Drosophila melanogaster: one gene and its partners. The protein of the gene in region 2 interacts with the protein of the main gene of each other region in a pairwise test. Each region holds a gene or a part of one and is shown on either strand. Other genes may lie near its edges. The genes, in order: CG13965, Hr96 and CG13032.

Region 1 (10,542 bases), on a different chromosome or scaffold from region 2:
CACTTGCTGTTCGATGCTTCTGGGTCTTATCTGTCTGGTGAGTCGGTGAGTCGGCAGTGGATTAGATAAGGAACTTATTGATTTTCCTCTCGATTGCCAGGCTCTGGCGGACTCATCCCAAGTGAAAGAACGCAGCCCTACCATCTTGGTGAGAAATACAATTCAAGCGGTGGAGAGGCTCTTCAATCAGGTGCTCTACACGACCATCGAAGATGCCCGCCAACGACTACCGGGTCTTCCGGCCAACGAAACCATCGATCGGCAGTACTTCGAGGAGCTCGACCTGGTTGCTGGGAACGAGGACTATTACAGCACTGCATTCTATATCTTCGCCTGGATAAACAGCGACCTCATGTACCATAAGACTCCCGATAAGTTGCTCGTCGAGGTTCTTCCCGGCGAGAAGATCGCCATCCGCAGATTCTTCGCCAAGGTCAAGCCGCATCTTACCAAGTATCTGCGACTCAGTCGACAGGACAGGTCGGAATTGGTTTCCAACGTCACCCAGTTGGCCACCGAAACCAAGGACAGTCTGATCACAACCTTCTTGGAGTTTCCCCAGAACCTGAAGAGCCAACTTCCTGAGCTCCAGCTAATGGACTACACCAAATTGGCTCAGGCTTTGGTGCAGGGGGTGGCCAGTGGTATATGGACGAAGGCTTAAGATTAATAGCTAAATATTTAAACAATATCATAGAATTAGAAAGTGTTTGTAATAAAATGAGAAATGTACTTCAAAGAACAATATTCGGAATCTATTTATACGAGGACTTTATTCCTGAAAAATGCCGTTTAACTTCCGGAAAATTTCCGACTGTCTGATCAACATGTGTAGATATCGAGAACTGATACTTTAAAGCAATAAAGATATTATCGTGACTTGGAACTATATACGACTTTGTAATAACAAAATGCATGGTTTCCACTACCCACTAATTAATATACGAAGGGGCAGCACTCGTTCTTATCACGCTCACCGATTTCTGAAGTCTGATTACAGTCTATACGTTGTCTCACGATCAGTGGGTATTCATTACAGAGGAGGCGTTCTCCCATTTTGTATAAAAATTGTGAATTTAAGAGAGGGAATATAAAAGGAATCAGTTCGATAGAGACTAGATACAGTTTCAAATCATGGCCAGCAGACTAACTTGGACTTTTCTAGTCGCTGTAGCTGCCCTCCAGCTTTCGGTAAGATCCTTAGATTTGCTTATATCCTTTTGGAATCAACAGAAACCTTTAACTTTCAGCTTGCAGCGCCTCTCATTAACAAATGGCAGTTACAATTCGAAGTGTCCAATGAACTCTTTCAAATGGTAACAGACGCCATGGAACAGCTACGACATGTCTTTCAATTGGTCATCGACGAGGCCGAACTCATTTTACCACCAAACTCCAAGGGACACATTCTCAGGGAGCTTAAGGACTTCGTCGCGGCCTTGGACACCCTGGACTTCGATGATTCATTCGAGCTGAACAGACTGGAGGATGCTCTTGAGGAACTGGAAAGCATCATTTCGATTGCAGGCAGCAAAGAATTCGAATCGGAAGCTGACGAGGTTGTCGTTCAGCTATTCATACAGCACGGAGTTGAGGACCTGGAGCAGATCCTGGAAAGAAACTTGGAAACTACTCTGAAAATCGTAGAGCAGAAGGTGGAGAAATACATGAGCACATGGTCCGACAGTCGGTTGGCCAGGAACGCGGCGATGGTCAAGCAGTTTAATGACTTTAAGAACGAAAAGGATGTCTATGAGAAGCTGGACAAGTTAACCAACTCTGATTTCATTTGAATAAACATATCATGTTTCAAGTACATTTAAGTTTAAACCAAATAACTACAGATACATAGTCCGAACGTATATATTATTTCCAGAAACTGCCTTGCAAATATCAAAACCAGTAGTCCAGAGTTCATGTTTTGTATTAGCACGCTCGCCGGAAGCTAAAATTTGATTACATATTGCAGCTGATTTAACAATCAATGAGCATATAATAAATACGCTAGTAAGTGTTTACTACTTAGTGCAGGTATGACGTAAGAAATGTGGAATTCATTTTACAAAGGTATTGAATACCTTAATATACCTTTTTTAGATTTGTAAGCTGTCAGGTTTCAATAGCTTTGAAAGTTTTACTGACTTTCTATTCAATACAATTGTTATTTAGTCTGATAAATAAACCGTGCGGAAAGTAAAATAACTGATTATTTGTAATGCCAAGAATCTTTACATTACACACAGACAAGTCAGTATAATCTCTAGCAGCCTTAACTAGTTGTTTTTGAGAACTCGGAACTTTCATTCATCAGCTTCTCTTAGGAAAGGTGTTAAAAGTTGCGATAAGATGATCCAAATCCATCCCGCGAGTCGAACACATCCCGCTCGATTTGGGGAGGTCCTCTTCCATCCGATGTGTAGCTATAGGATTCGCTCCGGTAAAAGTTGTTAGAAGAGCCCCCGGAACCAAGGGGACCACTTCTACCAGTCGGAATACTGGAACCACCGGCGATAAGGGGGATAATGGAACCACTGGATGGCATAGGTACCTGGAGAAGGTGTATTAGTTTTTTAGTTAGGAAAACGATTGCACAAGATTACCGGTCGAGATACAAAGGTTCCTAAGTTTTGATTGCGGAATGGGGAGTCAGGAATTGGTCGAATGCCTCTGCCACGGAAATCCGGGGAACTGGGAAAAGGTCTGTTGTCGAAGCCGCTGCCTCTGGGACCCACATTGTAATCGGTTTGGAATGCATTGTCATAGTTGGGTTGCTGAAATAGTTCAATCGTCAATCGGATTGTAATACTATGTGTAACTACTTATAAAAACACTTACACGAATGGGGAAACCGTTGGATCGGGGAGGGATCTGAGGATAAAACGGTCGAGGTTGGAAGGGGATAGGTCGGAGTGGAACGTCCTCCTCTTCGTAGGTGTCGGTCACCTCCTCCACTTCACCGCTAGATCTCTTCAAGGATAATAAATATATATTTATTTCCATTTATATTAAGTGTATTGGATGAGACTCACCTCTAGAAACTCGACATCGTTATTTGCTTCGGCCAGGGCAGAGCTGTTTCCGCCATTTAAGGATGATCTATTAGAAATAGGTTTGTTGCTCGATTTCGGACTCACTGGCTTGAAGAGATGCGTGGGAATGTTGATAGTTTCACGAGGCACCCTTAGCTGTGGATTATGGAATATTGCAAAGAAGATACTATCTAAATTGTTTGCTAGCAAACTTACCTTGGGATCCGGCAGAGTGTGGCATATCTGAAAATATAGAACTCATTGAAGCCTAAATTGTGGAACAAACCGATGAATAGTTACCCCCTGAGCGATGAACAGACAGCCCAGCAAAACGAATTGGAGCGGCAACATCTCGCAGATCTCGACTGACACTCACGTCTCGAACTTCCGACGATCGACAGAACTATGAGTTGACTGGGTGGAATGCGCTGCAATTAAATGCAACCACGATCCCAACCCGTTCGACTGGAAATCACCAAGGTGAGAGCGTCGGGGCCCGGGGTTATCAGCCTGGGGATTACACGATAGGGAAATCAGAAGCCCATAACTCAATCTCATATGCGCAAATCATCAATTATCATTTTCCCGAATCTAGGAGCCTTTAACTTACTTACTAGTTCTTAATGCACCGAAAGAAAACTCCAAGCAGTCCCACATTCAGTGAAGAACCTTGTACTCAGATTTACACGATCGAAAGCATTAAATATTATATGCAAATATTAAAAACTCATGAAAATATAATCTAAAAGTTGTTTATTGTGTTAGGAAGTACATTTCAAGATTGAAATAAAACTAAGATATTATTGACTATCTGGACTCGGAGATTTTTCACAGTATTTATCGGAGAGTGTTAGTAGAGTCCGTAGCCGTAGGGCGAACCATATCCGCCTCCTGGACGCGGAAAGCTGGGCACAGAGATCACTGGTCTTCGGGGAATCAAATAGACCTGCGGGTAGCTAAATCCTGGTGGCTTCAGAGCCACATCCTCGTCCTTATCCTTTTCACCAGACTTGTCCTTGGGCTTATCTTCGCCGGAGTCTTCTTCGTGATCGTGATTGTGGTTGTGGGGGTATCCGAAACCGGGACTGGGAGGTCCGTATCCTGGGAAGCTGGGCCAGTTACGAGGCTGAGGGAACACCTGGGGTTGGTAGGGCGAGTACGGTGATCTGAAGGTCGGATAGGAGGGATATCCAGACAGCTCCGGCGATTCCTTGTCCGCATCTTTGGCAGTGGGCGGTGTGGTCGATGGAGGAGTAAGCTTAGGTCCCGCGGCAGAGAATATCACTCCTGGATGGGGGTAGGGATACTGAATGGGGTAGGGATAGGGGTGAGGATGCGGATAAGAATGGGGATGAAAGTGGGGCTCATGCTTATGGGGCTTTGGCGTTGTGGTGGTGGTCGTCGTAGGGGTCGTGGTTTCCGGTTCCGGAGTGGTGGACTCTGGAAGCGCAGATCCATCATTGTTTTGTTGCAAGCCATCATCCAGTTGACCCAGTCCGTCATCGGGAGCAGCGGTGGCCTCACCCTCCTGCTCTATTGCGGGCTTCGTGGTGGTTTCTGGCTTTGGAGTTGTGGTTTCCGGCTCGGGAGTGGTGGTGGTCACCTTCTTGTGGGGATGATGAGGCTGATATTGGGGGGGCAGGTGGGGCTCCGGCAGATGCGTATCATCGGTAGTCTCCTCTTCGCTGTAAAGCGAGGCATCGATTTGCTTTTTAGCCTCGTCGAGCGACAACTGAGCGTAACTCAGCGCCAGCAGCTAGAATTAAAATGTATGTTAAGTTAATCATAGTTCGAGCCATTTTGTCCTGGCCAAGATCTGGCACCAACCTGGCTAATTAGAAGCAACTTGATGAACATCCCAACCGACTGAGTTCAACTAGCAAGGGCCAAGCGAAAACTGATTGTTCTCTGCCGGCCATAGCTGACTTATATAGCTCCAGAATCGCCCACCATTATGGAAATCGGTAAGCCAACAATTACAGACAGCCCCAGAGCAATCAGCTCTCTATCTCTCTCGAAAAACCCGATTGGCATCAGGTGTTGGATGCGTCTGCCGGAATTTCCCGGACTGCGTTCGCAAATTAAAGATCGCCATCTATCAGTTGGTCACTAAGAGAATTAGTTCTGCCCGCAGAACCAGGCAGCGATTCCCGCAATCAATTTAGAACTGCTCCAATCGATTCCACCTGCGCAGCGACTATAAAAGGTGGCTTTGCCCAGTCGGCGCTTCTGGTTTCGACGCAGTATAGGTACACATACTATGTGTCAGGTGTGACGATAGGCATGGCGAAACTTGAACTGAAGCTGGTGAGTGCCAATGGGGCATTCCCTCATTATTGCACATAATCGAACGTTTCTTTGTTCTAGATTGGAATCGCTATATTCTTGGTAGCCGCGCTCGAGGCTCAGGAAACCCCTGCGGCTGAATCATCTCCAGCGTCCCCAACAGATGGCGAAACGTCTCCAGTTACAGAAGCCAGTTCCATCGGAGAATTAACTCAGACCACAGAAGCGGGGTCGGAGGTCACAGAATCACCAACAAATAGCACCGATATGGTTAATAGCACGGACAACCCAGACCCGAACGGCTCGCCTGACCCTGAAAATGGAGGAGATCCATTTGTGAAGCCAGGAAGCCATATAAAGGGACCTCGACACGTTAGAGCACATGATGGCTTCCACAGCCTGAAGACGGAGAAGCATTGGGCAAGCTGGAACGATGCCTTTACCACGCCACGTCCCTAGCTCATATGTATATCCCATTATACCCTTTCGTTTTGTGACCAATCTCTGAAGATTATTGAATAAAAAACTAAATAATTTTAATATATTCCGTCGAAATTCGGGAACACCCTATGTGGTTTTACCAAGAACTTCACAGATGACGAATTGAATTAGTCGCCAGTCTATTGTTTCCCAATGCGGTTGATTTTTTTCTGCTTGGTAAGTAGAGATAAAGAAATAGTAACATTTTTATCGTATATATTATATTTTCACATCAGTGCCTCTTTTTGTCCCTGGAGCTAGTAGTGCCCAGACATGTCGTGGGCCACGATGGATACCACAACATCGAGAAGGAAAAGCGCTGGAAAAACTGGCCAGCACGTGTGAGGCACCACCATAAACAACGTAACTCCATCTGATGTCCGACAAGGTTGGGATTGCACGCGATTACTTATGGCCCGTTGCAAAGTCGTTCACAGGGCCATAATGCCTCGGATCTCGCCAGACAATGGGAAGCGGAAGCCTTGTTCATCATATCAATGGATCACTGCTTAATTGAACATTTCCACTGTTCGAATGTGTAAATAATAAATTGAATCGCATTAATTGTTGCTATCCAAGCGATATACATTTCAAATGAGGAGAAATGGATTTTATAAATATAAATTGACCCTTTCTTTAGAATGAGTAACCCCCTTTTAAAAATATGTTGTTTTTTTTTCTATTTTGAGATAAGTGACTAATGGGAAATCGATTGGTTCCATAATACATCTCAGCCCACTTAATTGTGATTTAACGTATAAGTAATTTGTCACTCCACAAACTACAGCCATGGGACCAAGGCTCTATCCCGCTGCGATCCTCATCCTCCATTGCCTGCTGTTGCTCTTCCTCCAGGTGGACAGCAGAGGTAACCAGAACCACACCCAGATGGAAAGACAGCGTCATCTCCGAGCACACAATCTGCACAGGCCTCCATACGATGGATACGATTGGCACAAACAGTAAGATACAGATTCGATCGAGCTGAAGGATATATACACTTTCGAATGGCACCAACCTTTCGCTTTCAATAGCTTTAACCGAGATGCCGAACCAAAGGCGACAGTTGCAAAGGAGAAAGAAGAGAAGACTTTCAAACACAGATCAGGACATTTAAAAAAGATGAAGCAGACAGCTAGGGATATTTCGAACTGGAGGTAGGTGCATCATCTGCATCAAGTATGAATGCTCTGAGATCAAGGAATGCCTGACTTCTTTTCAGCAGAGCTCGGAGCGCCTACCAAAAAGAGACGGCAGAGCTGGAGGAATGGGGTCGAAAGAAGAATATAACTGACAACGAACTGAAGTTATTCTTTGACGGTGAAATTTCTACCAAAGACAAGTACAGATTATTTGGGGACATTCAAACGGTTGTCCAGATCCTGAAAGAGGTGATAAAAAAGGGAGCTGTGTAAGTAGTGTTCGCCTATATGTCTGGCAATGCCTTTGAAATCCGCCTTTTTAGGACCGAAAAAGAGAAAGCAATGATAACGCCGGAACTGAAACCATTGATCTTAAGATTCGGCCGCATGTTTGAAAGGGAATTTGCCAAGAACACAAATGCCTTGGAAGCCTTGCAGATCCTTGTTCATGAGGTTCAAAAATCGAACAGCCGGAACATGAGACATAAGAGTGCTAAAAGGTCTCACTAAGTGGTAATTAAATTGGCTATGCCTGTGGCGATTTTAGTAACGAAAAGTTTGTAATCTACACACTAAAAGGTCTGTTAATAAATCGAATAACAATCATTGCTCTTAAAACGGATCATTGAGGCTGGTTTCCTAGCAGAAACTGATGACTGACCCAAGATCGATTGATTTAGGCAGCAGCCATAACTTTAATTTCGACTATCTTGCTTTTACTTAATACACATAGACGTCGGCTAACTTAATCACACACAATCGCGGAATTATTTAACGACAGCGCACTTAGTTCTTCCACTTCTTGTTCTCGTAGTCCCACTTGGAGGTCAATCCGGTGACGGGGTTGATTTCCAGGTCGATGATGCGCTGCAGCTGCGCCTTCTGGTGCTCCTCATCGAAGGTAACGGGCAGCTCATCGTACACTGAAAGGAAAATGCTCAATAATGGATAGCCGCAAAAGGGAACCGGAAAAATGGCTTACCGAAGATGTTCATCAGTACGGCCACCCAGATGGCGGCGGCGCAGAAGAGGAGTGAAACGCCCAGGTGGAGCTTCCACTCCCCGGATCCAGCCTGGACCTCGGCGATAGTCTGGCAGAAGCTGGCGCGGTACAGGGCCTTGATCTCCTGGGTGCTGAGCTTCTTCCAGTCTCCCTGCTCCTTGGCGCGCAGAGCGTTGATCTCGTTGGTGGGCTCACGGAAGCGCACGGCGGGCAGAGGGTAGTCCACGCGATCCGCGTAGCAGGCGGTGCCGTTCCAGCCGTAGCCAACGATCTCCCGCTTGCCGATCTTGTCCAGTGTGTGGACGGCGGCCACGCTGCCCACCTGGGCACTCTTGGGCAGCTGAGAGGCCAGCTGGCGGAGCACAGCACTGTTGAGTAGTCGCAGGGCCATTTTCTCACAGAGTCTGCAAGGTAGTAAAATGAATATCAATTTATGAGGTATCAGCAGAGGAACATAGGGTCTTGGACCCGCGATAGCCAAATTTCCCACCCGACCAGGCGGTCATCCGTGAATTCTAACGGGTTACGAATTCACCGATATATGGTGCCCACTTAGTTGGAGGTTATGTAACAGCTAGCAGAACTACGTGCCAAGTTATAGAATCTATTTCCATAAAAATCGCATTGTTTTGAGGTTCCTCTACGCCTGTCGCCATATATTTATCCCGATTTCGTGCTGTGTTTGGCATAATATCCGCATAATTCTCCCATTTTTCACAGCCATCACAGATGTTGTGTAATCGGTGGGCGGTTGCATCTACCGGAAAACGGCTTATAAACCGGTGGCAACTGGTTTTCCAATTTATGTCGGCTTGCTTATCCCGCTCGTTGTATTCAATAGCTTTGTGGTCGCAGGTACTTGATATTTTTCGCAATTAATACAATTTTTAAAGCACTTTTACCTACTTTTCTTAGACTTGCTGAACAATGTGACCAGAGGGAATATACAAAACAAAATATATATATGGATGGGTAATTATTGCTCGATATTTTGGTATTTTCATGCAGAGAAGTGTGACCACATCTCGAATGAAAAAATATAAATATTAATATATCGATATATTCAATCGCTAGCAATCGGAATTCGGCGGGGTATTTAAATCTAAATATATTAAAATAAAGAAACAGCAAATAAGGGCAACTATTATGTTTTATTTTATTTCGCAGCATGGTGAAATATTTGGTTTGGTATTTCACATTCTTTTTGTAGTCTGTCCGCGAGAAGAGAAACAACAACAAAACAATTATTGTTCGATATTATATTTTATTTTGATTTGATGTCATATCTCATAAATGCACACATTTAAATTAGACAGAGACACATAATTTGCTTTATCGTATCATATAGTTTGCTGCTTGAGTTTGTATTACATAAGATTATCTTTCGATAGGGATCTGGAGTTCGGAAATTTAGCTATTTTATCGAGGATGGGGCATTACGTATTCACTTTCGCGTATTCCTGTGTTTAAGCGCCGCTTGGCATAATAAATATGTTAATGGTATTTTGCTTTATTGGGCTTTATAAATATGCAATATGTTTGTAACAATATTTAATGATAATTACGCAAATAATTAAACTAAAGTGAAAGCTTTTTCCTTCAACTATACATCTTGTAAATTGGTAGTAGCAAAAACTTATAGCTACATTTACAGTAGAGTTAGGTATTAGTTGCGATTTAATTCATATGATCCGCCGACTCTGGGCTGGGATAAAGGGTATAAAAAGTCTAGACCGTCGGTCAGATTCACACTTAAGCATAGGGGGGACTTGGGGTTAGTTTTCATCTATATGTACAAAAATGAATTCACTCGTCTTATCTCTGTAACATTTCATGTTAGTGAAGTTTCCTTTTCTCAAGATTTGGGTTTTTCGGAAACGCAGCCGGGGTCCTTGCTTTTTGGGATGGTAGTGCTTCGTTATCAGGTTCAGTTTGTGGCTAGGACAATTTGCATTTTTAACAAGTGCGCTAAAAAGTGCAATTTACTCTAGATGGCAGGGAGTGGCTAGAAACGATGATTGGAAAGGTTGGTGACGTGGTGCAAATGGAAAACTCTTGGAACTGCTTTTGAACCTCGCTGCGAAAGTAGTGCAAGAAGTCTCATTTGTGCGGGGGCAAGGATATCTTGGGTGCATATCTTGGACCCTCAGCTGGCGTACTCCTCTCAGTTAGTTCATCTAAATTTGGCATGTACGAAGTGGTTGGTTTCTATAGCTGTTCACTCGGCTCCAGCGGAACTTTCGGGCGTAACATTCGAGTCCAGGCTGGCACAATCGGACTCCTGATCCTGGGCCTCCGAGTAGTTGGCCGCCTCCTGCAGGCGCATCAGCATGTTGAGCTGTTGACGAAACGCCTCATTAGTTGAAAATCAAAGGAGCAATATTAGTCCTGTATCTTACCAAGGGATCCTGTTGGTCACCGTTGGTTAGGGCCACGCCTTCGAGTCCCACATCCTCGGCATTGATTTGCCGTAGTGGAGGCACTGAGTCCGGACCGTATGGCCACGGATAGGAGTTCCTAATGAAGGCGGAGGGGTCGTTCCAGGCACCTCCTCGTCGTCCATAGAGCTGAACTCCCTCGCGCACCGCCTCCACCAAGTATG
Region 2 (11,229 bases):
AAGCCCGAGGACGAGACCAAGGCTGACGAGACCCCTGAGTCTGTTACCCAAGTGTCTGATGTGGCAACATCCACTTCGGCCCCAGTTGCTGGTGGTGACATTGAAAAGGACGAACAAGCCACCACTGCCTCGCCTGAAGAGGAGGAAGAGATCAAGCCAACTATCGCTCCAGCTGCTGAAATTCCTCAACCATCCGAAAAGGAGCCCGTGGATGAGCAAGAAGTGGAATCCGGAACCAAGGCCACTCCAGCAGAGTCTGACGGCCAGCCAATTGATGAAATTGCCCCTGCAACATCTGGACCCATCGATGAGGCTTCCACAGCCGCTCCCACAAAGGAGGAATCCACAACCGTTGCTAGCGCAGCTTCGCCTGCTGTTCACGATGATGAAATTAAGGATGTCACCACTACGCAACCAGTTGCCGATGAGAAGGAAGTGGCTGCTCCTCAGGACGAAACGAAGACATCCATTGATGTTTCCACCGATTCACCCACTGCCCAAGATGATGAGAAGCAAGACAAAACCGAGGCTCCAGTGGCACCCACCACTGTTTCATCGCCGACTGCTGATTCTGCTGCTGATTCTAGTACTCCCACAGTGGAGGTACCATCTCCTGTTGAAATCGACACGAAGCCAATGGATGATATCATGTCCCAGACTATTGCTCCTCATACCGCCGATGGTGCTGCGTCCACGTCCACTGAAGATGAAGACCAGGCTCCCGTTACTGTGTCTCCTCAGGATGCTGAAAAGACTCCAGTTTCCCCGGCTCCCCAGGATTCTGATAAGACTCCGAGCTCAGAGGCTCCCCAGGATGCCGACGAAATCCCAGCTACAGCGACACCTCTTGACGACAACAAGATCCCAGCCACTGTGGCTCCTCAGACTGATGATGGGGTTCCAGCTACCGCAGCTCCTCTTGATGAAGACAAGATCCAAACTACTGCGGCTCCTCTTGATGAGGAGAAGATTCCATCCACAGCAGCTCCTCTTGATGATGAAAAGATTCCTGCTCCAGTTAGCCCCGTTGTTTTCGATGTGGAGCCAAGCAGCGAGAAGCCTGCTGTATCTGAGTATGATGGTGAAGAGAGCACCGAACCACCTGTCCATGATGTGGAGACCAGCACTGATGAGCCTACTTCTGATGCCAAACTGAAGCCACCTACTTCTGCACCTGCTACGCCATCGGAATCTCCAGCCACGGAGGCGGAGATTGTGCCAGAAACTGCAGCCCCAGAGCTTGAAAAGGAGGTGCCAGAGAAGGCCACCGAACAACCTGAGCTTGAGAAGGAAACTCCAGAGAAGGCCACCGAACAACCTGAGCTTGAGAAGGAGACTCCAGAGAAGGCCACCGAACAACCTGAGCTTGAGAAGGAGACTCCAGAGAAGGCCACCGAGCAACCAGAGCTGGAGAAGGAGGTGACGGACAAGGCTACAGAGCAGCCAGAATCGGTCGATGAGAAGACCACTCCGGAGCCAGTCGTGAAGCCAAGCTTGGATTCCACGGAGGAGGATGAAGAGTCCGTTGAGTCCGAGGAGGAATCCGCTGACAAGAAGGACAAGAACAAGGAGACTGAGGAGGATACTGACAAAAAGCATGAGGAGCCTGAGGTACCAGCTGTAGTTTCGGAGATTCCTCAGCCAAGTGAAGAGGCCGTACCGACCACTGGTCACCCACTGTTCCCGCACCTTGCCAGCAGCACCACGACGCCACCAGCCGTCGACGACCGCGTTGGCGAGGAGGATGAGGAGAACACAACTGTCAAATTGAGTAGCTCCACCACCACCAGCACCACAGAGTCTCCAGTGACCAGCGCACCATCGACGACCACGGTGGCCAGCCAACAGCAACAGCCGATTACCCCGCCTCCCTACGGCCACGCCCCCGAGTACGAGGATGAGTACGACGAGGAGGAGGTCTTTGGACCCGGAACATGCCGTTACGCCGGCAAGCTGTACGTGTCCGCCCAGCAGATTCCACGTGACGATCCCTGCGACTTCTGCTTCTGCTTCCGAAGCGACATCATCTGCCTGCAGCAATCGTGCCCGCCGCCAATTGCCGGCTGCCACGAGGAGCCCATCTCCGGCTTCTGCTGTCCGCGCTACGAGTGCCCCGTGTCCATGGCCGCCGTGCTGAACATCACCACGAGCACCACCACCACCAGCACCACCCTGCCGCCCCACTTCCTGCACTATTCGCACGGCGAGGCGGTGAAGCACACCGGCTGCCTGATCAACGGCCGTTCATACCGCGTGGGCGAGCAAATCGAGTCCACGAGCGGTCCCTGCATTAGCTGCACGTAAGTACAATACATCGATGCCACCTAACGCTGGGTATTTGGTATATTCCTATGACTGATCTGCATCTTGTTTCAATTTCAGTTGCGGTGGAGACGGCAAGATGAAGTGTGATCCCCAGCAGTGCGTTCCCGAACCCACCATGCAGCAGGTGATGGCCGCCGTGGTGTCGGGACGCAAGAGATGAACCACCAGCCATGCTCACTAAATATAATTTAACTAATTCTTAAGCACTGCAGACAACAATCACGAACCGACGAACCAACCAGCCCAGATAGCACCACTCGCCAACTAGCAGCAATAGCAATAGCAATAGAAATCATAGAGCCAGGAAACCGGAAACAGAAACAGAACCAGAACTCTTGAAACCGGAAATCCGAAACAGAAAGTCCGGAAAAGCCAATAGCAATAGCAATAGTGTAACCGGACCAGATGCAATAGTGTTAATTTTGGGTTTGCCGACATACGCACTCTATCAATTGGATTACGCCCACTTGTTTCGGATTAGGTTACGGTGACGAAGCAACCAGTGATATTGTACTGTATACATAGTATAGGTGCAATTAATTTAGACGCGCTCACTTAAATCGATTACTTATTTGTATTTGTATGTGTACTAGTATTTTGGGCTTGTGACCCTAGTGACAGGACATATAGCCACCACAGCAGCCGACGTAGCGCGTGCCTTGTAAGGTCGTTCATTGTGCCCGCCGCCATACAATCGCTTTCAAGAGACTCTCAGCACCCCACACCACACTACACCACAGATAGGTAGAGCGAAGATATTTCGGACACGGATCGCAATCAATGGCGTTACGAAGCCACGGCATTCGGCCACCGGATGGGATTCTATACTTGCCCCCTCCGGCGGTTCACTCTTCTCCAATGCGCTTTTATAGTATTTTAGTCACCTTATTTTAAACATTATTATTTTTGTGTATAATTGTTGCTTCTAGTCTTCTTTTGTTGCAAGAGCAACGGAATCCGCCTGTAACACGCGCACAACCCGATCGATCGTATCATATTACATCAGATCAGATTATAATAGATCGTATCAGATCGGATCGGACCAGTTGAATCAAATTGAGTTGAGTTGAGTTGAAAAACTGTATCTTCTATGAACTATTCCAAGCTTTTATACTTTTATATACAAGATACGTGTAGAGTGGAGAAACGAACGAACTAGTTTTTATAGCAATTTTACAAAACGAACGCACGAATTGCATAGTTTTAACGGATTGAATTTGTACTTCGCCCTAGTGCACCTGCACTGGCACCCGTGTCAGGTGCACATGAGGTGGCCAAACCGTAGTCTACATAGAATTTTTAGATCAACTGAAACTGAAACGGAAACGGAAACCGATTACGGAACCGGAAACACACTGTCGGCCATCGCTACTGCTCGACTGATTGAAAATCGCACCGATCGCAGAGAGGAGCTATCTTTGTAAACTATTTTTTTTAACTACCAGCTGCCGCGCTGGTCATTACTTTATTGGTCATAGAATAGAACGAAACGAATGGATCTTCAGTCACTTGAGCCTTAGCAATGCGCCGAAATCTTCAAGCGCTTGAATCGCGCTGAATGAATACGAACATCAATTAGTTTTATATAATCTCTAACTATAGTTGTAGCCCTAAGTATTTAATTTTAAAAATAAATAAATAAATTTTAATTTAGATCTTATTTATTTGATATGTCTTTTAAGAACAGCTCTTGTGTTTCCATACCTTATCATAATTTATATGCAGCTATTCTTTGTAATCTAATAAATAAATACAACGCTTTTTATTGAAATGTATATCTGGAGAGTGTTTTGTAATTAAAGTGGTCATTTTGGATATCCTTTATACACTGCATACACAAATGTGAAATGTTCTTAGAAAGAGACAGGGTTTTCAATGGCTTTCTTCACAGAACCAATGGTTTGATAAAATAAAGGTTAGGCTCTATATTAAAGTAATAGATTGCTCGTTAGTTAAGTTGAAATTTTAAAAAATCGTTATAGCTCACCTTTTAAAGCGGGAATTTCGATGTTTTCCAATCGAGCAATCGAATATATTTCTACGTTATGGTATTTTTAAACGGTTCATCAGCGGGCACACTTCCAACCGGCAGCTAAAAAGTTTATAATATTTTCCGCCTATGGCCCGACTTCGTTCAAACCACTGGACTTCTGTATAAAAGCGGCTCCAAATGGTGAATATATCCACCATAAACTGGGTCTTCGTCTGCGGCCTGTCCTTTTGCCTGGGCGGGATTGCGGTGCTCAGTCTCATGCCATTGGGATCAGGTGCGTCTGCGAAACATGAACGCTTGCTATAAATACTGATCCGGAACCGCTCTTTTAATAGACTGCGTGTGCCCGCTGTCCAATCCGCTGGCCAAGCTTGCCGGTGGCGGAGAAGGTGTATCCGTGATTAAGAAAGAGCCAGCCGATGAGAAGCAGCCACAGCCACATGACCACGGTGCGTCCGTACACAAGATGGCACTGCTGGTGCCGTTTCGAGACCGATTTGAGGAACTCCTCCAGTTCGTCCCCCACATGACCGCCTTTTTGAAGCGGCAGGGCGTGGCGCACCACATCTTTGTGCTGAACCAGGTGGACAGGTTCCGCTTCAATCGCGCCTCTCTCATCAACGTGGGTTTCCAGTTTGCCAGCGATGTGTACGATTACATTGCCATGCACGACGTAGACTTGCTGCCCTTGAATGACAATCTGCTCTATGAGTATCCCAGCAGCTTGGGACCACTGCACATCGCCGGACCGAAGCTACATCCCAAATACCACTATGATAACTTCGTTGGAGGAATATTACTGGTGCGACGCGAGCACTTTAAGCAGATGAACGGCATGTCGAACCAGTACTGGGGCTGGGGATTAGAGGACGACGAGTTCTTCGTGCGCATCCGGGATGCAGGACTGCAGGTGACGCGGCCGCAGAACATTAAGACTGGCACTAATGATACATTCAGGTGAGACCAGTGCTCCGGATTTCGCAACTAGACGTGACTACTAATAATTATTGTCATTCAACCTCAGCCATATTCACAACCGCTATCATCGTAAGCGGGACACCCAGAAGTGCTTCAACCAGAAGGAGATGACCCGCAAGCGGGACCACAAGACGGGCCTGGACAACGTGAAGTACAAAATACTTAAGGTGCATGAGATGCTCATTGACCAGGTGCCGGTGACCATCCTCAACATTTTGCTCGATTGTGATGTTAATAAAACGCCTTGGTGCGACTGCTCCGGAACGGCAGCGGCTGCATCGGCGGTACAAACCTGATGGGTTGTGTTAAACCAAAGATCCTATGTTTATTTCGCTATTATAGTGTGTTGTATTGTATAAATGCGCTAATACACGTGCACCATGCCATAGAGGAATGTCCAGAAGAGCACGTAGGTGCAAAGGCCGCCCATGAACTGATTGGTCAGCAGATTTCTGCGGTTAATGAAAAACTTGCGCCACTGGGTGCCCGATTTCACGAGCACCAGAATCCAGAGCACGAACACGGACAGGAAGTAGAAAAGGAATCCCAGCGTACCACTCAGGCCCAAAATACCTGCGAATTGGTGGGACATTAACTAAGTTGGTTCACCATCAATTGGAGCCAATTACCCGCAGCGCAGCCCGAGATGGCAGCCATCGATGTGCGACAGTATTCCACGGCGGATATGTTGTTCCGGATGGCGCCCTCGCTGTAGGCGATTATTTCGCCAGTCTTGGACTGCGTGGTCTTCACTCGATTCATTTTATTTAATTAAATTCTACTTTAATTTCTAGCAAAAATATTCCTAGGCTGTGAACTTCGATTGTGTGCCGATTGTGTTATCGATTGGTGCCGATAACTATGCACTGTAAAAATTCACTAGCGGTTTTTGCAGGATAAATAGTTTTTGTAAATTTTCCGAGATAAACTTGACGAGCTGTTTAATGTTAAATAATGAAGTTTAATACAATATCAAATATATTTGCTGAAGTGTATATTTATTCTCACCGCTCTGTGCTTCGATGGCTCACAATTGCGTTTGCCATTCGCCCGGGCACGTAGATTGTTGTTATTGGGATTGGCCTGGAGCACTCGGACGGACAGTAATTCATTAAAATATGTGGTGATAACGCGAGCTGCCGAATCTGCGTGCAATTCGTGCGTTTGACGTGGGTACTAACTGCTATGCTGTCGCGCGGACAGTTGTTCTGATACGCAGAGTTCCTGCCTCACCACACACGACCACCTCCATTAAAACCAGCCACCCCCCCCAGCGCCTCCTCCACCGACAGCAGCTGCTCCACCGCACCACCAGGAGAGGGGCAATTAAAAAATCAATCAGAGGGCCCTAATTGAAAGCTGCCACCGTCGAAATGTCGCCGCCGAAGAACTGCGCGGTGTGCGGGGACAAGGCTCTGGGCTACAACTTCAATGCGGTCACCTGCGAGAGCTGCAAGGCGTTCTTCCGACGGAACGCGCTGGCCAAGAAGCAGTTCACCTGCCCCTTCAACCAAAACTGCGACATCACTGTGGTCACTCGACGCTTCTGCCAGAAATGCCGCCTGCGCAAGTGCCTGGATATCGGGATGAAGAGTGAAAACATTATGTCCGAGGAGGACAAGCTGATCAAGCGGCGCAAGATCGAGACCAACCGGGCCAAGCGACGCCTCATGGAGAACGGCACGGATGCGTGCGACGCCGATGGCGGCGAGGAAAGGGATCACAAAGCGCCGGCGGATAGCAGCAGCAGCAACCTTGACCACTACTCGGGGTCACAGGACTCGCAGAGCTGCGGCTCGGCGGACAGCGGGGCCAATGGGTGCTCCGGCAGACAGGCCAGTTCGCCGGGCACACAGGTCAATCCGCTTCAGATGACGGCCGAGAAGATAGTCGACCAGATCGTATCCGACCCGGATCGAGCCTCGCAGGCCATCAACCGGTTGATGCGCACGCAGAAAGAGGCTATATCGGTGATGGAGAAGGTAATCAGCTCACAAAAGGACGCCTTAAGGCTGGTGTCGCATTTGATCGACTATCCAGGTGGGTGCAGACAAGATTTCATCGTTTAGCCTTATCCGCTCACCTATGAACGACTTGAATCTTTACAGGCGACGCACTCAAGATCATTTCAAAGTTTATGAACTCGCCCTTTAACGCGCTGACAGGTTAGAGTTTTAAAATTTGTGGTTTTAAACTTAATTTCACATTCCTTGTTAATTTAAATACGCAGTATTCACCAAATTCATGAGCTCACCCACGGACGGCGTTGAAATTATCTCAAAGATAGTTGATTCGCCCGCGGACGTGGTGGAGTTCATGCAGAACTTGATGCACTCGCCAGAGGACGCCATCGATATAATGAACAAGTTCATGAATACCCCAGCGGAGGCGCTGCGCATTCTTAACCGAATCCTAAGCGGCGGAGGAGCGAACGCAGCCCAGCAGACAGCAGACCGCAAGCCATTGCTGGACAAGGAGCCGGCGGTGAAGCCTGCAGCGCCAGCGGAGCGAGCTGATACTGTCATTCAAAGCATGCTGGGCAACAGTCCGCCAATTTCGCCACATGATGCTGCCGTGGATCTGCAGTACCACTCGCCCGGTGTCGGGGAGCAGCCCAGTACATCGAGTAGCCACCCCTTGCCTTACATAGCCAACTCGCCGGACTTCGATCTGAAGACCTTCATGCAGACCAACTACAACGACGAGCCCAGTCTGGACAGTGATTTTAGCATTAACTCAATCGAATCGGTGCTATCCGAGGTGATCCGCATTGAGTACCAGGCCTTCAATAGCATACAACAAGCGGCATCGCGCGTAAAGGAGGAGATGTCCTACGGCACTCAGTCTACGTACGGTGGATGCAATTCGGCTGCAAACAATAGCCAGCCGCACCTGCAGCAACCCATCTGCGCCCCATCCACCCAGCAGTTGGATCGCGAGCTAAACGAGGCGGAGCAAATGAAGCTGCGGGAGCTGCGACTGGCCAGCGAGGCTCTTTATGATCCCGTGGACGAGGACCTCAGCGCCCTGATGATGGGCGATGATCGCATTAAGGTAACCAACAGTCCACGGTATTAGCCTATAGGTCTTTCTACATTTATAGCTCCAACACCACGGCTTATCTAATCAGAGTGTGCGAGCTGCGATATATGTACACACGGCACCTGGCACTTTTTAGCCATTCGGTGATTCAGTGCGTCTCTCGATGTTGGCCCACGGGCCGTATCTTCGTCAGCCAGTTTCTGGGTTCCCAGCAATGCTCGCCTACCAAATGTAAACACACTTTTTAATGGGGTGGCTCAAAGTTTTTGATTTCCCAAGAGCTTTGGTCGAGTAAAAGAAAATTGATCGAACCAGATAAGCTATTTTCCCCCAGAGGGTTAAAGAATTTGAAGTCATGCGACTGGGTCTAGTTAAGATATTTGATTACGAAAATTGGCCTTTAATTAAGACCCTAAACGTGACAAACTTCCATTCTATATACTTCTTGATGAGTATTTAAACAAATATGGCTATTTTCGGAACAAATCGGGCACTCATTTATATCTTTAGCTTTATCTTTATTTTTTAAGATGTGTCCACACCTTTGATCGACCTCTAGTTCCCCTGGAGAAATGATTTGGAATTATCCAATAATGATTCATCACTTCCACGAATTGTTGTCCCATTAATCGAGCCACCCTAGCTTTCATGCAATCAGAACGTCTGGTCTGCCAAGAAGGAGCAGACAGCGGCTTTATCAGCCTCTGGGCGTGCCAATTGTGACACTATCAACCATTATCAAGAGTACCAGCAGGCGCTCATGAGTCTCCAGCCAGCCGTCGATTTGGGCGTTTATTGTCGCTTAGACTGTTTACCGATTTTGCCTCATCGCAATTAGCACATTTCAGTATTGTTAATTGGGAAAAACGATACAATTTTGACGAAATATATGGAGCAGCCAGGTGTTGGGCGCTATGATAAGCAGTGCTCCGCCATTCGATTGAGTCACCTTCCAGGGAGAAGCCTTTACGATTATGGCGATAATAATGGCCACCTGTTCGTTCTTTTCCATTTTGTTTGTTTTGTGAACCACAGCCCGACGACACTCGCCACAACCCAAAGCTATTGCAGCTGATCAATCTGACGGCGGTGGCCATCAAGCGGCTTATCAAAATGGCCAAGAAGATTACAGCATTCCGTGACATGTGCCAGGAGGACCAGGTGGCCCTACTCAAAGGTGGCTGCACAGAAATGATGATAATGCGCTCCGTAATGATTTACGACGACGATCGCGCCGCCTGGAAGGTACGTAGCCTTAATTAAATAACTAAATATTCTATTAGACTGATATGATATGATACAATGTGCTCCTACAGGTACCCCATACCAAAGAGAACATGGGCAACATACGCACTGACCTGCTCAAGTTTGCCGAAGGCAATATCTACGAGGAGCACCAAAAGTTCATCACAACGTTTGACGAGAAGTGGCGCATGGACGAGAACATAATCCTGATCATGTGTGCCATTGTCCTTTTTACCTCGGCTCGATCGCGAGTGATACACAAAGACGTGATTAGATTGGAACAGGTGAGTAAGCACTTGATACCATACTGCAGTATTACTAACTTTCTTTCATTCGATAGAATTCCTACTATTATCTTCTGCGAAGATATCTGGAGAGTGTTTATTCTGGCTGTGAGGCGAGAAACGCGTTTATCAAGCTAATCCAAAAGATTTCAGATGTGGAGCGTCTGAACAAGTTCATAATTAATGTCTATTTGAATGTTAACCCATCCCAGGTGGAGCCCTTGCTGCGTGAAATATTCGATTTGAAAAATCACTAGACAACCGATGCGTGTCGGGCATTTAATGCCTATGTTGATGCCCAATGATGAATGGTCAACAAGCTGTAGTTGTTGTTGTTGTTGATGTCTGTTTTATCTTGTCGCTTGTAATGTTAGATTTTAATCGAATGTGATTGTTAGATTTGCATATACTGCATAGATTTTATATTTCTACATCAAAGAGAGCATATTTAGGATACCAAGTGCAAAGCAACACAATCTATATGTAATGTACACCGTTTACCTAGTTTCAAATAAACTAGACGATAATGCAATAACTAACTTGGAAGCGTGGGTTCTGTGCAAAAAGGAAAAAAGACAAAAAAAATAAACTGACTTTGAGAACCAGTGGTAATAAAATGTCTCGTATTCTTTTCTACTCGAATGAATTTCGAACCCTCCAGGACAAATTACGCAAACGAGTGATTTTGAACAACAATCCAAAATAATTTAATTCCGAAAGTCACAAAATAAAAATTCGAAGTAGGAAAAAACAAATAAGATGTTTGGAAACCAACGAGAGATGTGCTTCGTTAAAGCATCAACCCGGGGAAACACCACAGCAACCGCGCATGTGTACCCGCGACCAGTCCTCAGAAATCCACGTCGTGTACGTATCCGCAGCCAGCGTATGTGTCCGCATCTGCCGACCCCGTCTTACATAGTCATTTATGTATAATGTAGGTAATATAATAGCTCGAGCTCGCTCCGCACCACCAATGTGCGTCGTGCAAGTCCATTCCAATTGTTATCCGGTCCACTCGCCGCGCAAATCGGCTTTCAGGTTGATTCGCGGCAATCCTTGGCCCATTGCAGAAACTCATCCAACGCGCTGACGGCCAAATTGCGAGAAAGAGCCTTCACACGCAGATTACGATCGGTTGTAATGAGCACCAATTCCGTTTGAATGAAACACTTGCCATCTGCAAAAGAGTTTTAGTTAGAAATGCTATCAGGAAGGACATTTAACGGAAGCAGCTCACCTGTGCATTGTTCGGTTTTTGCCGTTTTCGAGACAGCCATTGCCGTTGCCAGAATCTTGTCGTCATTGGACAAATATTCCTCCTCAACTAGGGCAAACACCGATGCATTGACAAACGAGCCC
Region 3 (11,229 bases), on a different chromosome or scaffold from region 2:
ACTACACCAGCAACAACAACAGCTGCAACACCAACAGCAGCAGCAGTACCAGCAACATCAGCAGCAACTGCAGCAGCAGCAACACCAACACCAACACTATCTGCAACAGCAGCAACAGACTCTGCCACCGCCACCCATACAACACCAGCAATACAACACAGCGGCCATAACGCCCACATACCAACAACTTCAACAGCAACAGCAACAGCAACAGCAACAGCGGGCACAGCAGCAGCAACTGCACGATCCCTATGCACACTACCAACAACCGCAGGCGCTGCGCCAGCAACAGCAACAACAACAACAGCAGCAACAACAGTTGCTGCAACAGCAAGCCATTAAACAAGCCTCACATCTGTATCCCACAGCAACATCCCAGCAGCAACAGATGCCGCCACCACAGTCGCCGGCGAATCCGCAGCAGCAGGCGCTCAACAGCTACAACGAGATGCGCTCGGCCATACTCCAGAACTCGCATCATCCCAGCGGCAATTCCGTGGATCAGTACGACCAGCCACAGCAGCAGCAACATCAGCCGCAACAGCAGAGCACCAACCCCACGCTGGTGGCTGCCCAACAGCAGCAATCCCATCATAGCCTACTGAACAACAATGCCAGCAACGGCGGCATTTCGCACAGCCACCACAGCAACATCAATAATAATGGACACGGCTCACAGAACCAAATGTTGCCGCCACAAATGAGACGCTCGGCGGCCAGTGTCGTCGCCTACGATGGCAATAGCAAGCAACAAGTGGCAGCCGGCCCAGGAGCTGCCCAAAATCACCTGCAGCAATTATACGCGTCTCCCAATTACGCCGCTGTGACTCCATCTGAGAATTCAATAAACGTTAAGCAGCACGCCAGCAATGGCCATATGCCGAACCAGCAGCAACAGCACGTGGCAGGCGGCAGCAATATCGGGAAGATAGCGGACTACGATCCACTGACGGATGGACCAAGGGTGGTGCCCAATGCCGGACGGTCCAGCACCACTTTGGTCTACAGCTCCGAGCCACGTGGCAATCAAGGTGGTAAGTTACGGAGCAGGCTAGCTGGTAGTTCGAGGTAGTGATAGTGCGCGCTCAGCTCGATGTTACACACTCATCTTGTCCTTGTCCCCGGCTAGTAGATATGTAGCCTAAACAGAACTAATGTCCAGAACTTTTATGTCCTCACAGGCAACAGCGTTTACCCCAAGCGGATTGGTTCGGTTTCCGATATTGATCCGGCCAATGGCATCTACGGATCGCTCACCGCCGCCGAGCAGGCTCACCAGCAGCAGAAGCACCAGCAGTACTACCAGCAGGTACAGATGATGCAGCAGCAGGAGCACCCGCCGCAGCAACAGCAGATGCGCCAGCAGCCATCCTACTCCTCCCTGCAGGAAAAACAATCGCGCCAGAGCACAGCAATGGTAAGTTTTGTTGGCTGTCTATTGTTTATTACAAAGTTATTTTTAACTATATGTCCCATATTTTAGCGCGTCTATCGGGCCATCTATGACTATGAGGCGCAGGACGTCGACGAGGTCAGCTTCCGCGAGGGCGACGTCATCTTTGAGGTGGAGTCAATCGATTCCGGCTGGATGACCGGACGTGTGGAGCGTACCGGCAAGACCGGCATGCTGCCCGCCAACTACGTGGAGCAGGCGGTTATATAATAGGGAATGTTCTACTACTGCTGCTGCCGCCAGCAGTTTGTGGTGATCCTCGTCTGCCTGCTCTACATCCTGCTCGTGCTCGCCTTCTTCGTCAACGTTTTTATCGCGGATCGCAACATGCACGCGAATCTAATGATGAGGAACGGTCGGCACGGCGGAGGTGGAGGAATCCCTCCGCCAGCAGGCATGCATCCGGGTCACCACAATCCGTACGACATGCATGGCTACAACCACTACAGCAACTACCATCCGCAAGTGGATTCCAAGCAGCAGCAGGAGTTGGCCAAAAAGACGCCGCAGCAGCAAGCCGAGCAGGACATTTACTACTATTTTAATCATGTATTCAGGCGGCGACGGCGATGATGTGGAGGAGTCACACGCCCCAACCAACAGCCCAAAATTTAAATTTTTAGTGCATTAACTTATACTGCATCCACTACATACATAGATATATATATATATATATATATACTATATATAGCAAAGCAGCGGATTATGTAAAAAGAGAAGAGGGAAATTAATTAATTAATTTTAAATTTATTAGTAATCCAACCAAGAACCAACAATCCGATATCCATCTTATTAAATAAACAAAGCCACAGCAGAGTTATGAGAAATCAGCCAGAGAGTCGAATGTGTTTCAGCTATGAATCGGCTAATATATGTCAGCGGAACATATATCTGCACCGATTCCAATAAGAAATTGAGCGACCAAGCTAACCCAGCCAAGTTTGCATTTATCTACAGCCCTTAATAAATCAAATTTATACAGATATTTATTGAAGAATATACAAAACGTTAACCAACTAATCGTACACTATAGCTTACCAATCATATACAAGTACGGATATCTATAAACAATTCGATTAGCTAAAGTGCTTCAGCATAACATGTTGTGGATAGCAAAATCCCAAGGCAAAGGTTTTCTAATTTAATTAGAAGTTCTCAAAGTAATACTTACACGGGGCAATAGCGCTAACACAAATTTCCCCCGAGTTTTCTTCGGCTTTCTGAAAGCTTTTCGCATTAGCAGCAATCCACTCGGATTCTGATCGCGTCCTTATCCCTACAATTTTGTCAATTTATCTGTGTAAACGAGGAGGACTTGAAGGATATTGTTCTTGTTTTTGCGGGGGAAATTCATGTTTTTAATATATAAATATTTTTGTTAAGAGAATAATAATTATATATTGTTTGTTTCTAGTGTTAAATTGAAGAAAGAGAATAAGGTGGAGATATCGTTTCGTTTCACAAAAGAAATCCTTGAAAGTGCCTTTAATTTGCTAAAACGTGTTTTTTAGATAAAACCAATTTACTAGGCTTATCAATAATAATGCATTAAAGAATCAATAAAAAAAAATATACTTATACTGTAACTTATACATTTTCATACCATACGCGAGCAATGGAGAACGAATTTCTAACGCAAATAATGAAGCAATTTACAAACGGCAACTAAAACTAATTTAATATGTGATTGCAGGATCGTTTTTCTATGGCAAGTCAAGCTATATATAATGTATTATTAACTTAACTTACAAGACACTCACACACACACACACACACACACATGCATAGCTATAGACAGCAATTAATAACAATTATATAGGCATAATGCAATTGGAAATGCTTCGAGTGGAAAGAAATCACCTAACAAATACTTGAATTAATCTAATCTTATCCTGAAATAGAAGCAGCGCCAAAGGCTTCGTTTTGTGAACGTGTTACAAATCAAATAAAAATTTATGAAAATTTAAAACTCATTGTTTTCGGTACTTCAGAATCAATGATGTGCATTGCAATGCCATGCAAGTTTAATAACATTCCAGTTACATATAAATATGTATATGGCATGACTTCTCGTCCAGTTTTTTTAGCATTGCAAAGAACATAAAAACTAATCAAAATAAAAATCGTGGTTTTGTTCATCTTCATTATTGAATGGAAGTCTCGCTCGTGCTTTTATCTGCATTTTTGCTACGATCGCTCAATCCCTTTTCGCGAGCTCCAAGTACAGTTTCAAGGATAATGGTCTTCGTACTGTTGATGGTGTCCTCGAAAAATTTGGCATCTGCGTTCTTCTCCTCGGTGATATACTCCAGCTTCTCTGTCAGCATTGTGATTTTTTCCTTGGCCAGTTCAAGACTGAAAATATAAGTAGTTATAGTTGATTAAGCGATGGGATTGCCGTGTCCGAACTTACTTATTCTTTAGATCCTCTATTCTGGGCTCAGGCTGTCCTGCCGAATTCAGCGTATTTGTGGACTGGTACTGGGACTGATTTTCGAAGCAGAAGGAACCAATCGATCCGTTAAGAGAAGTGCGACTCAGCGAACTGGCGTAGTCGGCCATTCGCTGGGTGCGTTTCTTCTTATCGGACTGCACATCGAGTTCCTTCTCCAGGTCCCTGATCTTGACCTCCAGTCGGCTGATACGGGCCTTTAACTTGCCAATCTGCTCCTGAGCTGCTTCGTTCTTGGCTCTCTCCGTCTCCAGACGATCTCCTAGAGTTTTGGTGAGCAACATAAGCTGATTTTTCTCCACCTCTAGAGCATCCAGGATGCCCACAAATTCCTCCTGCGGAATATAATTAAGCAAATTAATAGCTTATGTTTTAGTGTACAGAGTTTTACCTTTCGAAACTCGCGGCAGGAGAAGAGGAATCCGCCGGATAGGGCGCGCAGGTCCATTTCCAGCTTCTTGATCATATCCTGCAGACTGGCCATGGCCACATCCTTCTGCTTGACCACCGTCTGCAGCTCCAGATGCATACCGCTCAGCTCTTCCATTTGCCGGCGCGAAAGATCTCGCTCCTCGGTCACCCGGACCAGCTCGCCGCGCATGTCGTCCAAACGGTTCTCGTACTGAATCCTCTGCTGGTTCAGTTTGTCATTCATGGTATTGATATTGGTGCCATTGAAGTCGGTCTGCTCCTCCAGCTCATTGTATAGAATCTTGTACTTGTTCATCTCCTCGTTCAGATTCTTGTTCCTCACCTTTAGGGCGAGTGTCTTGCTGCGTTGATCCTCCAGTTGGTTTTGCAGGCTAAGAATCTCCTTTTCCAGAGCCTCCACCTTGGCTCGATGAAGAATCTCACTTTTACGCACACCCGGTGTAAAGCGATCGAAGCTGGCCGTTGTGGCTCCGCCGCCATCGCCTCCACCTAATCTCTCAGAGCTGGCATGATGTGATCGACAGCTGCCGGTTACCAACTCCAGATCCGAACCCAACGGCACTGGGGCAGCATATTCGGCTCGATCTACGGCTCGGTCCTCGTAGAAATCCAAGCGAGCCTTGAGCTCGTGCACTTTCTGGTTGAGCGCGATGATCTGCTGAGCACGACCGCGCCAATTGGCCTGATTAAGATTGTTGGCCAGGATGTTGATGTTGCAGCTCTCACCGATCTCGTGCTGCAGGCACTTTTGGGCCAGTTTCAGTTGGCTTTGTAGCTCGGTGTTCCTGTTTCGCGTTTCGAAGAGCTTCTGCTGCATACTGTTGATCTTGGCTTGGAGCTCATCGGGGGAGCAGCCCTTTTTTGGCAGATCCTGATTATGCTGCAGCTTCTCCTCGTGCGCACGCAGCTCCTTCTCCAGCTTCTCGATCTGAGCATCCTTTTTACCCAGCCGACTCTTTGCCTGCTCCAATTCGGAACGCATCTGGCGGTTCTTCTTGCTCAGTTCCAGGATTTTGGTGCTGGCAATGGAGGAGTTGCAGCGCAGCTCATCAATGGGCACGGAGTTGAGCACCTCGTTGAGCGAATCAACCGATTTCTTCAGGTCGGATATCTCCTGATTCTTCTCATGAATGGCCTGGGCCAGTGACTGCTTCTCCTGCTCGCATTCGGATAGCTTTTTGCGCAGCTTTTTGGACTCCGGCTTTGTTGGCTTTGGTTTTACCACAGCGGTGGTCAGCACCACATGGGCAGCGGCCATGGCATCATGGTCATGCCGACGTCGAGAGGAACGGCCCACTTTGCACCCCAACAGCTCCTGATCCCGATGGGCTACATACTCTTCCGGCAAAGTCTCCATCGCAATGCCCTCTAGTTGTTCACATAAAAATATACACAATTGAATCTAACAATTTCGTTGGCTGGGCGAAAATAATTTGTACGTGTGCCTGTTCTTGTTACTAAAATATTCACAAATTTTGGTTGTCATCAGTTGTTTCTAGGTTATTCAAATTTAAACCTCATTTGAAACAGACAAATCAAAGGCAAGGCAATTTTTAAATTTGGAACTCTTGTCATAATCAGGATTTCTTCAATAATAGGTAAGTTAAAAATAAACAGAGTTTCTGCAATAATAAAATTGACATTGACAATTCTTTTCTTGATCTTTCCAAACTGTTGTTTTATTTAAGACAGGATAATTTACATTTAAACCGTTATTCTTTTTTTACATTTACATTATTTTATTTTAAATACCCCAGCAAAGTACGGCCAACGTCAAGCAAGCCAGCCCCCCATGTGTTTCAAATTATAATTTAAAATATAATAATAAAACAACGATAACGGCTTAGCTAAAATTCAAAAATTTTAACAGTTTTTCTAGATAGTTTTAACTGTATCTAGCTATTTATTTTGTGACTCGAGTTGGCAGTACTGTTTAGTTGGTATAATTTAGCGGTCGCAATATGGTCATACTAAAGTGACGTGTAAGACACGAAAACAAGTGAAGATGGACGGATTTATGATGGTAAATTGCAAAATACACAAGTAACTGGCTTAAAATCAAACCCAACATGTGCTGCAGGATATCATCAAGGGCATGTGCATCATGGACAACGATGGCAACCGCATCCTGGCCAAGTACTACGACAAGAACATCCTGTCCACGTTGAAGGAGCAGAAGGCCTTCGAAAAGAATCTGTTCAATAAGACGCACCGCTCCAACACGGAGATCATTATGCTGGACGGACTCACCTGCGTGTACAAGAGCAACGTGGACCTCTTCTTCTACGTGATGGGCAACGCCTACGAGAACGAGCTCATCCTGCTGTCCGTGCTCAACTGCCTCTACGATTCCATTAGCCTGATCCTCAAGAAGAACGTTGAGAAGCGCCTGGTGCTGGAAAACCTGGAGATCATCATGCTGGCATTTGACGAGATCTGCGACGGAGGGTGTGTATTAGCGTATACAGTGATGGATGGAAAGAACAAGGGACCAAGTTAAAGCAGCTTTCATTAGCAGCAGTTCGTTTAGAAAACATCAAATTATTACTACACAAGTTCCCATAAATAACATTGTTATTTACTAGTCTATGAGTTAGGCCAGCTCAAGTGAAGCCTCTAAGTAGTTAACCGCATTTAAAGCTTCCTTTTTTTTAACAAAACCTAGTCAAGTCCAATGAAAAGTTATATGATAACTGCGATGTTAGGGTATAGGTACAAAAGTTTAATTATATAAATCAAACTAAATATTAAAATATATTAAACTTAAAGATTAAACTAATACATACGAGCACTGGCATCCTAGGCATGCAGCTCGTATAAGTTTTTAAGTTTATAGGCTGAGCTTTAGAAATCACCTGAGGTACAAAAAGATATACTTTGCCATTCATCACTGTATATTATGCATTACATATTATTAAATACAAATATTCTATTTAAACCTTTACCCGTTTTCCAAATAGCATTATTCTGGATGCGGATCCCTCGTCGGTGGTGAAACGCGTTGATCTGCGCAACGATGACATTCCCATTGCCGAACAGACCGTTGCCCAGGTAACTAACACCCTTAATGGTCTATTTTGGTAGTCTAACTACTTGGTAGCTCTTCTAAGTGTTTATAACTCAATGGTAGCCGTTTGTACTTTAATTTTGTCTGGTTTCGTTTCGCAATTTGATACCCTGCAGTCAAATATATTCTCATTTAGTTTTACCCGCCCTATGAACAAATAATTAGGCTCTTTGTTTTTCAAGACTATATGTAGTTAGTAACTGAGTTAATATAAGTTTACAAGCTTTACACATTTGCCTAGATTTATTTGTTATTCGCATTTTTGTTTAATTACGATCTATTTTCAGTTTCAACAAAAGTGTTTAAATGTTGTAAAATTGTACCTATTTTAATGAATGCTTCCAGATAATATTACTTATTACAATTTAAAGTAGTTGTGTCGGCGTAAATTTCTTTTTACCTTTTGTACATGTTACCGAATTTCGATTACTTTTCCCCATATCGCCCCATTCATTGTACTCCGAGAATGTTCAAAATAAAATTGGTGAAAATGTTCTGGAACTTCGCGCTCATTTTGATTTGTTTCATTAGCTAATTGATCGAAATTATTGCCGAGTATCTGTATCTATATATGTGTGTGCTATCTATCTTTTAGGTTCTGCAATCGGCACGTGAACAACTCAAATGGTCCATTCTGAAGTGATGTGAAATGGGGTGGCGGAAGAGAGGAAGCCACTTCCGTGCCGCGTTGTCGCAATACATTCGATTCTTCTTTTAGCGCCCACTTGTTTTCGCCTAGTTGTAAAGCATATAATAATACATACATTTAACTGGAGAGCACTGCATGTTTTAATTTAGCATTAAACTACTAACTCGGTGTGTCATAGAGTAGCCAAAGGCACCGACGGGCGATTGGAGCTGCCAAGTTCCGTTTGCGCCACTATAAATCTTTTGTGCGTGGTATGCAATCGAGTTCTTAGATAAGGGAAATCACCTGAATAAACAAGGACTGTATTTAGGCAAATCTAATAAAAGCTTTGAAGACTTTCCAGACTAATACTGAATGTATTAAAGAGTATTCCCAGGTTCGTTGCTATCGAGCTGCTATGGCTTATCGCAGAACTTTATGGTGTTACTGAAGTCCACAATAATTCTTATTTTGCTTAATCGATGAAGTAGCGCAAGTAGCCATATAATGCCAGAACTGACCCATTCAACGCAACGCAGATCGGTCAGTATTACAATAAGATAATGCAGGCAGGCATTATGTTGCAACTGACAGCGCAATCACCAATCATATGCAGATGGGGTAAATCGAAACCACTTGTCTCCAGATACGAGGATAAAGTATGTCGTAAACCCACGTGACCAGCTGGTGTCCAAGCAACTTGGCCTGAAGTGGCACCTAAAACTGGGAGTGCTAGGGTATTAAAGTCTCTTTACGAGGCAGTGCTAATTATTAAGCGATTAAGCACCGATAATCTCAACATCTTTATAGTAGGGGGGCGCATAAAAAAGTTCTATTTGAAGAAGCAGTTCCAAACGGCTTTCAACAGCTTTGTTTTCTGGCAAACTCAATGTAAGGGCATTGGCACTTAAACTCATATTTGTTTGATTTATGGCCATTACAACCAAATGGATTACCTCTTCGCCATCGCATGGGGCTATTAAAAGCTTTAGTTATGAAATGAAGTTCTGCGTTGCAGGAAAAGAGGGCAATTAACGAAGACTTGTTCAATTGGGGGACTTACATATCATCTCTCTAAATTGCCTTATTCCGTAACTCCGTTTAATATCTAACCAAACAATAAAAAACAAACAGCTAGCAATTGTGATTCACTTGTTTTCCCACCTCTCGATCGCATGGCCAACATGCTATCATTCAACTTCAACCTGCTGCTCGTCCATCATCCAACGTACACCACCCATGAACCGCAGACGTGCTCCGCTCCCACTGATATATCCATCCACCCACATCCACATCCACCCCCGTTTACCCATCGTTCCTTAATCAAATGCTTGTCAACATTGCAGCCAAAACAATAACAATTGCAAAATTAAGCGCCTCGCGTTTATCTGCCTTCTGTGTTGTCGAATTAGACAAATAACACCCAAGTGGGGGGAGTCAGTTGGGGAGGTAAGTAAAGTACACAGCTATATGTACATATCTATCAGCCGTAGGAGCTGTGGTATCGGTACCGCACTTGATGGATGGATTGCCCGGGATCACGTTCAGGAATTCTGGCAAAGGCGCAACGTCCCCGGAATTAGCTGCTTACGTGGTTGGGTGATGACAGGGGCTGCTCGAATCACAGATAGGATCTCATGGGTTCTTCTACTCAGCTAATATAACACCTATATTTCTTTTTGAAATACGTTCGGAATGATATATAGATTAGGTGTCGTGAATAAAAGATGGAAAAAGTTGAATCGTTTTTTTCTGGAAATACTTTAACTTCTAACATATTTAGGTATTAGATCATTTAAAGCAAAGTACATCCCCATGCCACCTTAAAGTACAGTTACCCCATTAATTTATACCCAATATCGGGTTCTCAAGTATACTCCTGCACTATCAGGGGGAAGATTGAGATTACTTGGGCACAGAAAGAGGTTCCACATGATTAGCGCCACCGTTCCAAAAAATGGGTTCCAATCGGATTAAGATTTACGATCCCGATCGCCAGCCCCATCAGATTTATATAATGCCAACGCGCTGGTATTTTCGGGAGAGGACTATTTGGCATTCAGTCAGTCATACGATTTGTGCGCCTGACTTCGGATTCTTGTCTACTGAAACGGAAACCCACAACATCTGGAGAGGTTGAATCGAATCGAATCGAATCACGACTGATACTGGGAAATGATTGGCGACTTGTTTTTCGGGTGTGTACATATATATTTTGAACGATTGCCATTAATTCGCTGAATTTCAATCTCGCCTGTGGTAAACAAAATAGTTTAAATTCCATTCCGCAAAATTCATTAGTAGTAACTCTTCACGTGCCAACTAATTGAAACTGAACGAATTACGGCGAAGTGAAGGCGACTGCTTTGGTTTTCCTTACTTTTTATCATGCCCGCATTACCCAGTAAGTGAAGCTAATATCGAATGAGGGGGCCCGTTCCATAAAATCGACTTTATGGCCTTCAATGGGTAGGAAAATTTTCGCTTTTCGCACAAATTTCGCGGTTATTGCAGGGCCATGCCCAAATGTCTCTATCTCGAAGCGTGACTCTTTCTCAGCTCCCAGACGACTTGCAAACAGACAATTAAGACACCATATATGTATAGTGTGGGATGGTATGGAATCAGAGCACATCGACTGTCCGATAAGTGGATGGCTCGAGCAGCCGGCGACCTTGGCAGTGGAGTGGGGTTTAGCAAAGTGCTGCCCAGCAACTCAAGAAGCACCCCCCCAAGGAATCCCACAGGTCAGATCCACCTCGGTCCTCCATATCGGTCAATGGGTTCAACGCATCGAGAACCCAGATCGCAGTGAACCTCCGTGAACCATGAGTGCCCGATCGAAGCCCGATGGCGAACCGTTAATTTACGATCCCTGACAGTGGGTCAAATCCTCTCGGGCTGGCTGGCCAGTTATCTTCCATTATCGCGATAAGGCCTGAGTTCTGATCGGACCAGTTGAATTGAGCTGGACTGGTATGGGTTGTTGTGCTACCCGTTTGAATTGTGTTACTGGGGGCCCTGTATTTTAATTACATGTTCTTTCGAGTGCCCTGTTTTCGAGTGCAGATAGTTGCAAAACAATTCTTCTTCCAGTATGCAAACAAACGGTCTACCCCCGTAATCCTCCCCTGCGATCAAGTGTAATTTCTGTTGGTGCTGAAGAGGGACAAGTGGCATTCCAAAACTGTAAGGCT

What was found.
Region 1: the proteins of Hr96 (region 2) and CG13965 interact in a two-hybrid assay, tested with the Drosophila melanogaster proteins (one large-scale study listed by BioGRID).
Region 3: the proteins of Hr96 (region 2) and CG13032 interact in a two-hybrid assay, tested with the Drosophila melanogaster proteins (one large-scale study listed by BioGRID).

What each region holds. Positions count from the first base shown.
Region 1 is NT_033779.5:19,957,069-19,967,610, reverse strand, and holds CG13965 (uncharacterized protein), read left to right. Parts: upstream 1-5,258; 5' UTR 5,259-5,312; coding exon 5,313-5,336; intron 5,337-5,396; coding exon 5,397-5,774; 3' UTR 5,775-5,853; downstream 5,854-10,542. Other genes in the region: Hf (helical factor), read left to right, coding at 1-37, 101-664; OS9 (Olfactory-specific 9), read left to right, coding at 1,135-1,191, 1,251-1,793; CG10680 (uncharacterized protein), read right to left, coding at 2,330-2,548, 2,601-2,771, 2,836-2,967, 3,030-3,185, 3,246-3,272, 3,330-3,380; CG16772 (uncharacterized protein), read right to left, coding at 3,880-4,785, 4,857-4,886; CG42866 (uncharacterized protein), read left to right, coding at 5,949-5,972, 6,032-6,172; CG34051 (uncharacterized protein), read left to right, coding at 6,585-6,757, 6,830-6,952, 7,018-7,206, 7,261-7,447; COX4 (cytochrome c oxidase subunit 4), read right to left, coding at 7,724-7,860, 7,920-8,331; sick (sickie), read right to left, coding at 10,159-10,278, 10,340-10,542.
Region 2 is NT_033777.3:25,018,875-25,030,103, forward strand, and holds Hr96 (hormone receptor-like in 96), read left to right. Parts: upstream 1-6,360; 5' UTR 6,361-6,669; coding exon 6,670-7,336; intron 7,337-7,404; coding exon 7,405-7,461; intron 7,462-7,526; coding exon 7,527-8,350; intron 8,351-9,373; coding exon 9,374-9,583; intron 9,584-9,654; coding exon 9,655-9,867; intron 9,868-9,923; coding exon 9,924-10,124; 3' UTR 10,125-10,477; downstream 10,478-11,229. Other genes in the region: tnc (tenectin), read left to right, coding at 1-2,300, 2,383-2,485; beta4GalT7 (beta-4-galactosyltransferase 7), read left to right, coding at 4,496-4,592, 4,654-5,275, 5,343-5,592; EMC6 (ER membrane protein complex subunit 6), read right to left, coding at 5,661-5,869, 5,926-6,058; Smg6, read right to left, coding at 10,905-11,047, 11,108-11,229. UniProt on the Drosophila melanogaster protein: Binds selectively to the HSP27 20E response element.
Region 3 is NT_037436.4:16,668,613-16,679,841, reverse strand, and holds CG13032 (uncharacterized protein), read right to left. Parts: upstream 5,879-11,229; 5' UTR 5,695-5,878; coding exon 4,297-5,694; intron 4,241-4,296; coding exon 3,867-4,240; intron 3,809-3,866; coding exon 3,598-3,808; 3' UTR 3,578-3,597; downstream 1-3,577. Other genes in the region: lasp, read left to right, coding at 1-1,034, 1,182-1,417, 1,484-1,663; CG43954 (uncharacterized protein), read left to right, coding at 1,670-2,026; zetaCOP (coat protein (coatomer) zeta), read left to right, coding at 6,343-6,360, 6,418-6,785, 7,298-7,388, 8,000-8,047.